Arabidopsis thaliana: one gene and its partner. The protein of the gene in region 1 interacts with the protein of each later gene in a pairwise test. Each region holds a gene or a part of one and is shown on either strand. Other genes may lie near its edges.

The links.
Region 2: the proteins of IAA7 (region 1) and AFB5 interact in a two-hybrid assay, tested with the Arabidopsis thaliana proteins (one study listed by BioGRID).

What each region holds. Positions count from the first base shown.
Region 1 is NC_003074.8:8,193,024-8,197,662, reverse strand, and holds IAA7 (indole-3-acetic acid 7), read right to left. Parts: upstream 3,058-4,639; 5' UTR 2,896-3,057; coding exon 2,657-2,895; intron 2,100-2,656; coding exon 1,846-2,099; coding exon of another isoform or gene 1,835-1,845; exon of another isoform or gene 1,589-1,834; coding exon 1,453-1,588; coding exon of another isoform or gene 1,449-1,452; exon of another isoform or gene 1,141-1,448; coding exon 1,079-1,140; intron 988-1,078; coding exon 947-987; 3' UTR 508-946; downstream 1-507.
Region 2 is NC_003076.8:20,333,390-20,338,270, reverse strand, and holds AFB5 (auxin F-box protein 5), read left to right. Parts: upstream 1-1,599; 5' UTR 1,600-1,739; coding exon 1,740-2,341; intron 2,342-2,431; coding exon 2,432-2,930; intron 2,931-3,092; coding exon 3,093-3,851; 3' UTR 3,852-4,374; downstream 4,375-4,881. Other genes in the region: AT5G49990 (Xanthine/uracil permease family protein), read left to right, coding at 28-407.

The DNA of each region.
Region 1 (4,639 bases):
CAACGACTTACATAATTTATATGAGATTATTAATCTATAATATGAATACAATATATATATCTAATGATCCATCATCCATCCACCAGTAAGAACCATCAATAACTCGCAAGTCGTAACAAATTGTAAGTGAGTAACAAACATCCGAATATTAAAACTTTTATATCCTCTTTTGTAACTGTATCTTACTCACTTTTTTTTTAATAATGAAAACAAATTATATTGATTTCAACATATTTTTGAAATGATGACTAAATTAATCTTGTAAAGCCGCTACACATATAATCATCAGTTAGTTTAAAATATGACAGATTACGGACCACATGTCCCAAAAAATTAGGATACACAATTTATGATGAAATGACAACAAACCAACTTTAAATTCTACTTCTTATTTTTTTTGTGGGTTGTAGGATATGTTCAATTGTTCATTAAAGACTTCATCTAAAAGTCAATACATAATCAGAGTTTTTAAAACTAAAAAACGCTAGTAATGGTTAGAGAGTAGAATTAAAAAGCTAAGATTTTATTGGTAAAATAGTAAACATAACAACGAATTATTCATTTTGGGAAAAAACTATTAGATAACACACACAAGAAACGACAAGTAGCAGAGTAGGGATCAAAACACATGTACATGTACACACACCTACATACACACATTTATATGTATGCACATATCAAGTTGTGATTGATCATCAAACCGACAGACACATGTTGGGCAATAAATATGACACAAACACAGAGATATTGAAGTTTCCTCTCTTTTGGTCACATTACAAGTTTGTCCACATCTTACTGGTAAAATACTGCCCTATATACCCATCAAGTATTTAAAATTACAACACACATATATAGGTGATAGCCACATACAATCATAAAAATACATATAAAATCAAGAACCCGTCATATTGTTGATCATTGATGCTTCTTTTTTTTTATTATTAATTCAAGATCTGTTCTTGCAGTACTTCTCCATTGCTCTCGGAGCTATAACCAAGAAAACAGAATTATATTAAAATAAAAAGAAAATTGGTAAAAATTGAAAAACAAAAAAAAAAAAAAAAAGTTAGAGATGTACCAAGTCCAACTGCTTCAGATCCCTTCATAATGCGCAAACGTTTGCAAGACTCGACAAACATTCTGAAATAGGTATTCAAGTTTACGGTTAGAACATTAGAATATGAGTCGTTAACATTTAAAGTTTATTCTAAGGTTTTTGGCAATAATATGATGATGTGCCAGCTACGAATGAGCTCTAAACATATCGATACTATTGTATAATTTTTGAAAGATCCTCTTGTCTCTTGCCAACCAATGCATGGTTGTACGTATTTATAACACATGGATGTTGAATATCTTTGGCTTTGTCTCTACCAATTTCGGGAAATGTGGTTAACGAGTCAAGTTATAAGTTATAAAAAAAAGTATATGAAACGATTAAATTTGACTCACTCCCATGGGACATCGCCAACGAGCATCCAGTCACCATCTTTGTCCTCGTAGCTTGGCACATACTCAGAGCTATTCAGCAGATTCATTAGCTTGCTCTCGTTCATGAAATCTATCATTCCTTGTGCTCCATAGTTTCCTTGAAGATATTCAAGACATTCAAAAATCATATAAATTTATGTGTCATTATTGTGTAATATATATAATACATATTTAAGTTGTATACATTTAGCAAAATCTCATCTTGTTAATATGTATAGGGTTCGAATGTATAGTTCTATGACTCTAACTCGGTAAGGTTCATGAGTTTTGTATGAATAAATGTAGTAAATGATATACTTTAATATACGAATATAGTTTTTTCACACTTTCCGATTTGAAATTTCTAATACGTACCCATAGTAAAGGAGCTGAACATTTTGGCCAATGCATCAGAAAGATCCTGGTAGCTTTTGTACATCTTGAGGTCAACTTTCCTCAGATATGGAGCACCGTCCATGGAGACCTTCACCAAGCCGGCTCCGGCTGCTCCTCCACCAAAGTTCCCGGCCTTCTCACTGCTGGCCTCCTCCGCACCACTACTGGTCTTCTGCTGAGTCATCATGTTCTTCCTGTAGTTCCTCACAGGTGGCCATCCCACCACTTGTGCTCTACATAGAACAACATTATTTAGATAGGTGTATATCAACCAATGTAATTATTAGTTACCATTACTGCCTTTATGGGCTTGATTGTAAGTTATAACATGTATTATTTCATGTTTGCTTGTACGCATGTATGTATTGGTGTTTAAGTTTCAACCACGCTTTAATTATTATTATATTATTTCTTAGTATTATATTGATAGAAAACAAATATAACTTCAAAGAATCAAAGTTATGCATATAAATTTTAACAAAAAAAGGTAATGTATATGGGAAGTATATATATATATATATATATATATATATATATATATATAACTAACATTACAAATTTCAAGAATTTTTAGTTTATTCATATGTTTATGTAAATCCCTCACAATATTTATGTTCTGCGAGGACATATAACTATGAAATTTATATATATTCGAATATTCTAAGAACTTAGACATAGATGTGTATAAACACGTATATATGTATATATATGGACTGGAAAAAACTAAGAACTTTTTAACCAAAAAAAAAAAAAATCTAAGAATATATATATATGTAAATGTGTAGCTTACTTAGCAGGAGGCTTAGAAGGATCTTTAAGGGTAGTCTTCTCCTTGGGAACAGCAGAAACGTTTTTGAGATCAACGGAGCCTTCTTTGTTAGATTGAAGATTGAGCATGAGATCAACGGTTTCGGAGAAGCCTCTCTTGCTTCCCACCGCCGATTTGGCAGGACTCTCAACTGCTTCAGCGCCGCCGGGGAGGCCGAGACAGAGCTCCGTGGCCTTGAGGTTCATAAGTTGGCCGATCATGTTACTTGTAATAGATTAGAAATATTGTTTCTCTCTCTGAAAAGGTAAGAGGGGAAGAAGAAAGGAGAGGAAGGGGCAATAATAATATAAGGAGGGAGGATGGTGGTGGGGTGTATGTATTCGTGTAATTGCATGTGCATGTCTTTTGCTCTTTTTTCTTCATTGGTGGGGTTTATGACACGTGGGCTTGATTAGATGTTAGTTAATCATTTCTTCTCTGTTACTACAAAATTAAGCTAAGATAATTTTGTTTTGTTAATCTTCCATCTAGAAAGTTTTGAATGGTGACCGGGAAATTATGTTTTAATTAACTACGAGGATCAGGTCACATATTGATCATGATATGTAATGTAATTATTGTAGAACCGCGAAAATCCGGAGAGAAAACTTTGAAAACGATTACAAAGATTCCAAAAATATGATCATTCTTATTTTTGTGACAAACTTCACTGAAAAACTCGCCGAAAAGTTAGCCGGAAATACTTTGTAAAATTGAAGTTCCAACAGTTACGTGGTAGTGATGTTTTGTGATACTATCCGAATTCAAATAGTATGTATGAAGTCAAGTTATTCTTGACAATATATATATATACATATATGATATATTTTATAAAAGACTTTGGTATGATAATAAAAAGATGGGACATATTTCTCATATCTTACCAATTTGAAGAAAGAGATGATCTATGAGAATATTGAGAGCAACATATCTCTTACATAACCAAGTCATCTTGCTCCAATAGTAAAAGAGTGAAAAAATTTGCCACTTGAGTTCATGTAATATTGGCCATCATGGTTCGAATTCTAACATTAGTTTTTCCGAATCTCATAATTGGTGTTTGGATCTAAAAGTATTTTAGCATCATCTTTGTTATCAAAAAATAAAAAAAAAGACATATATATCTCTCACATCTTACCAAAATTTACATGTAATGTTTGCTTGACTTTTCGTATCTAATAGTCGGACTAAACCAATATGGGTCTTTTGACTCTGACGTAGTACTTATCATCGACAAATTTTCCTAAATAGCACATTAGATCACATATATTGGTTGTATAATTGTGTTCAGCATTTTTACTTAGAAATATATACAAACAAACTACAAAAAGTTTTGTTTGTTCTTCTCGTACGGTTCTGACATTTTTTTTAAATTTATTTGGTTCTGACATTAAACATACATTATAGTTCATAGTGAGCTACATCGTCTATTCTGGAGTTTCAGGATGTAGTTTGTTTATAAATTTGTAATGGTTGGGTTAGGTCATGTAGTTTTAAACATATTTCAGCTGGTTCTACCACTCTGTGTAGCTTTAGTATTTTAGCATTTGTACTATGACTCTATGAGTCAATACAAAGCTAGCATATAACTAGGTAGTATATAATACTTATATAGTATGAAACGAATTCAGATTGTTTGTTAAAGAAGAAAAGAATAAGTTCTCACAACATGTCTATATATAAACTATGAATGTATTAATTACTTCTATGTTTTGTTAATAGCCTATTTGTTACACTTTGTCTCCTCTGGTCAACTGTTCATCGCATATAAAGCAAGTGGAATTGGGCGGTGAAATTCCGTTAACCAAATTTGGTCAACATTCTAATTAGTTTGTGTCAAGCAATACAACTATACAAGTCACGTATATTATTTTAATTGTTTACGGTCTCCCGTTTTCTCTGTATCATCTTGGTTATTAAATGTGTCTTACTAAAAAATTAAAAATAAAAGAATAGTACTACTCA
Region 2 (4,881 bases), on another chromosome or scaffold:
ATCTTTAATACAAAAACTGTTGTATAGGTGCTGGAGGACTGAGTTTGCTGCAATTCTGCAACCTGAATAGCTTCAGGACATTATTCATACTGGGCTTCTCAATCTTCCTAGGCCTATCAATTCCACAATATTTCAACGAGCACACAGCCATCAAAGGCTATGGTCCAGTTCATACCGGGGCAAGATGGTTCAACGACATGGTCAATGTGCCCTTCTCGTCCAAGGCCTTTGTGGGAGGATGTGTGGCTTACTTGTTGGACACGACGCTTCACAAGAAAGATGGTTCGATCAGGAAAGACCGAGGTAAACACTGGTGGGACAGATTCTGGACTTTCAAGAACGACCCGAGAACAGAAGAGTTCTATGCTCTTCCGTTCAACCTCAACAAATATTTCCCTTCTGTCTGAAAAAAAATCCTTCCAAACTTTATGGAATGCTGTTTTGCTAGTTTTGTGTCCCTTAGGAGGACACACCTTATCTAGCTAGGTTTTATGTGCATATTCGGTGAGGAGACTATAAAACGCAACTAGATATTATAACCCAAAGTGTTAAGTAACATTTTAGAAATATTAATGTGATGTTTCTTCTATGTTTAGATGTTTTGCATTAAAGATGATACTCGTTTTGCCAAATTTAGAACTAGAGTATGTATGCTCTGTTTTAATACAAATGATTAAAAGAGAAAATTTTGTGAGTTTTGGAGGCTTTTCGATTCTAATTCTATAACAAAAAAAATTTCCTACAAAAATTTGTAATGCTAGATTTGACGTTGAAACTCTTATGATATACTTTTGAAGATAAGTAGGGGTTCATGTGCTTCATTCTCTGTCGTCCATTTAAACACTTCTTTGGTTGCATATAACTAGTTGATAGGAAGTTAACGATAACTAAAAGTCTAAAACAGATGGTTAGCCACAACGATGAGTATTTGCACACAAAAAACAGAGCCTCAATGATGAATGGGTTTTGTATTTAGTTGTGTTATACTGTATTTGTTTTGTTTGATTGGTAGAATAATATGTGCTTGTTTGTGGCACATATATAAATACATTTTTGACTGATAAAATTTAAAGACGTCATTAGCTAAATCGGTTACCACTTACCACCTTAGGTTAAGGTATAAGAAGTTATAAACTATTGTGAGTTACTTAATAATAATCTACGGATCAAAAATGTTAGAATCCAAAAAAGTGCACTAGTTCGAAATCATTTATGCGGGTCTATACATATAATTCGTAGGAGGTTACTTGAAATGATCCCAACCAATTTGTTCATATTATCTATGCTTAGTGATTTGGTTTAAGACAAAAAAAATTACCCTAACCAATATGGTTAAATTCTCAACTTATCTCGAAAAAAGGGTAGGCAAGTGTCCTACACTATAGAAATGGATAATGTTGATTTTATTGTTTTCTAATTAAAACATTGCTAAAATAGAGATCTGAAGAAAATAAAGAGGACGAAACTGTAAAGTGTAAAAACATTGATGGAGACAAGAAAGCAGAAAAAAAGAGTTACATTTTACTTTCTAGTAAGAAAAAAAAAACATGAATATTAATTATTTTTGTACATAAATATAAGAAGACAAAACAGAAAATTAAAAATAAAAAATAATCCCCAAATAATGGAGACGAAGTGGAGAGAGAAAGCTCCCACTCTCTCACACCCCAAAGCTTCTTCTTCTTCTTCCTCTTCTTCCTCTTCCTCTTCTCTAATCTGAATCCAAAGCCTCTCTCTTTATGACACAAGATCGCTCAGAAATGTCTGAAGATGACGATGACCAACAATCTCCACCGTTGGATCTACCCTCTACCGCCATAGCTGATCCTTGCTCATCTTCCTCTTCACCAAACAAATCTCGTAACTGTATCTCAAATTCTCAAACTTTCCCTGACCATGTTCTCGAAAACGTACTTGAGAACGTTCTTCAGTTCCTAGATTCAAGATGTGACCGTAACGCTGCTTCTCTAGTTTGCAAATCTTGGTGGCGTGTTGAAGCTTTGACTCGATCTGAGGTTTTTATTGGTAACTGTTACGCTCTTTCTCCGGCGAGGTTGACTCAGAGATTCAAGCGTGTTAGGTCTCTTGTGCTGAAAGGGAAACCTAGGTTTGCTGATTTCAATCTCATGCCTCCTGATTGGGGTGCTAATTTTGCTCCTTGGGTTTCTACTATGGCTCAAGCTTATCCTTGTCTTGAGAAAGTTGATTTGAAGAGGATGTTTGTTACTGATGATGATTTAGCTCTTCTTGCTGACTCTTTTCCTGGGTTTAAAGAGCTTATCTTGGTTTGTTGTGAAGGTTTTGGTACTAGTGGTATCTCTATTGTTGCCAACAAGTGCAGGTAAATGTTACAACTTATTGGATATGAAAATGCTATCTTTGAGTAATGTTTTGATAGTTATGAACTTATTGGATATTAATTTGTTTTCAGAAAGCTGAAAGTGCTTGATTTGATTGAGTCTGAGGTCACGGATGATGAAGTGGATTGGATCTCTTGTTTCCCTGAGGATGTAACTTGTTTGGAGTCTTTAGCTTTTGACTGTGTGGAAGCTCCTATCAATTTTAAGGCGCTTGAGGGTCTTGTTGCTAGGTCACCGTTCTTGAAGAAACTTAGGCTAAACAGGTTTGTGTCTCTTGTGGAGCTACATCGTCTGCTACTTGGAGCTCCACAGCTTACTAGTCTTGGGACTGGTTCATTTAGCCATGATGAGGAACCTCAGAGTGAGCAAGAACCAGATTATGCTGCTGCATTTCGTGCTTGTAAATCTGTAGTTTGCTTGTCAGGGTTTAGAGAGTTGATGCCGGAGTATCTTCCAGCTATCTTTCCGGTGTGCGCTAATCTCACCTCCCTGAACTTCAGTTATGCTAACATTTCTCCTGACATGTTCAAGCCCATCATACTCAATTGCCACAAACTCCAGGTGTTCTGGGTATGTATCCTTCTTGATCTATGTCTTCATGGCTTTATTAAGTTATATGTGACTTAACTCTAGTGACCGTATTGTTTGTGTTAGATGGATAGAATGAATAAACTTGATATTAGTTGTGTAAGGAACTTGAGTAAAATGCATGACTTGAACTTTACAATGCAGGCCCTTGATTCAATATGTGATGAAGGACTACAGGCAGTTGCAGCCACTTGCAAGGAACTCCGTGAACTCAGGATCTTCCCTTTTGATCCTCGGGAAGACAGTGAAGGTCCTGTCTCTGAATTAGGCCTCCAAGCAATCTCCGAGGGTTGTAGGAAACTAGAATCTATTCTCTACTTTTGCCAGCGCATGACTAATGCCGCTGTGATAGCCATGTCAGAGAACTGTCCAGAGCTTACTGTGTTTAGGCTGTGCATAATGGGTCGACATAGGCCTGACCATGTAACAGGAAAGCCTATGGACGAGGGATTTGGTGCCATTGTTAAAAACTGCAAGAAGCTAACTCGCCTTGCAGTGTCGGGATTGCTGACAGATCAAGCTTTTAGGTATATGGGTGAGTATGGGAAATTGGTCCGTACGCTTTCAGTAGCTTTTGCAGGGGACAGTGACATGGCTCTGAGACATGTCCTAGAAGGTTGCCCTAGACTGCAGAAACTTGAGATAAGGGACAGTCCCTTTGGAGATGTTGCATTACGGTCTGGTATGCATCGCTATTACAACATGAGGTTTGTTTGGATGTCAGCATGTAGCTTGTCTAAGGGATGCTGCAAGGATATTGCACGAGCAATGCCGAATCTAGTTGTGGAAGTAATTGGATCGGATGATGATGATGACAATAGGGATTATGTCGAGACTTTATACATGTATCGGTCTCTTGATGGTCCAAGGAATGATGCACCAAAGTTCGTCACGATTTTATAGAACGAGGAGCATTTCCGTGTTTCCGTTTTTTAAGACGGGAATGAAATGGGTAAGTGTAGGAAGCTCAGATGATGATGGTGGTGGCATCAGAGGCACACTACATGATTGTTGATGATGAATGATGGTGGTTGGGACTTGGGAGGAATGCAAGATTGTTGTATCATTATTTTCTTTTTTTATTTTTGGGTTCAAAAGATGTTATTTGGGTGGTTAGGTGGAACAGTGGATGTATGTTTTGGGAGCATCGGTGTTAGTTAGACAGCTGAGTTGGTTCTAATAAGCTGCACTTTTGGCTCTCTCTAGTTGTTGTTGTTGAGAAACTAATGAGACATCTCTCTCTTTTGTCTTTCCCATTTTTAATTAATTTTGAGATATTTCATCTTAATCTGTTTAAATTATGTCATTTGTCAGCAAACTATAATGTAACTTCAAGAAAAGATCATTTTGATTCGATTCGATTATTTGGCTTCGTTCGGTTAAAATGTGGTACGCGTAACTAAAATGTAGGGTGAGGGAAAGTGTGGTGGTGGAGAGATATGAGCTAAGGTTCTTATCCAAAGGAAGACCTCTCCTTTTGCCTTTTGTTGACAAGCCATCTTTGTCCCCAAAAGACTACATATTTTCAACTGACAAGAGACCCATCATTTATTTCTTAAAGGTCATAACCAAAACTGAAATAATGCAGAGGATGGTGACAAAAACATATGATGGTGGTGGATTAGAGATAATTTGGAAAAAGGGGGCTTAGATATTAGGATTGATGTGATCATCTTACCTACTCATTAAACCACTTAACCCCAATGTTTTTTATGCTCCCATCATTTCATCCTTTATCATCCTACGGTCACCATTCATCCAACTTTCCATCTCCATTCCCTCTCCTTCCATATACTATTACATAAATAAATAAGATATTGTCTTAGTTTGTTGGTTACATGCATTTGTCCCTTACATAGAATATGTCTTCTTCTGTTCAACTTCAGTTGGACGGTGATATTAGCCACTACCATTTGGGAAGCATTTAAACGTA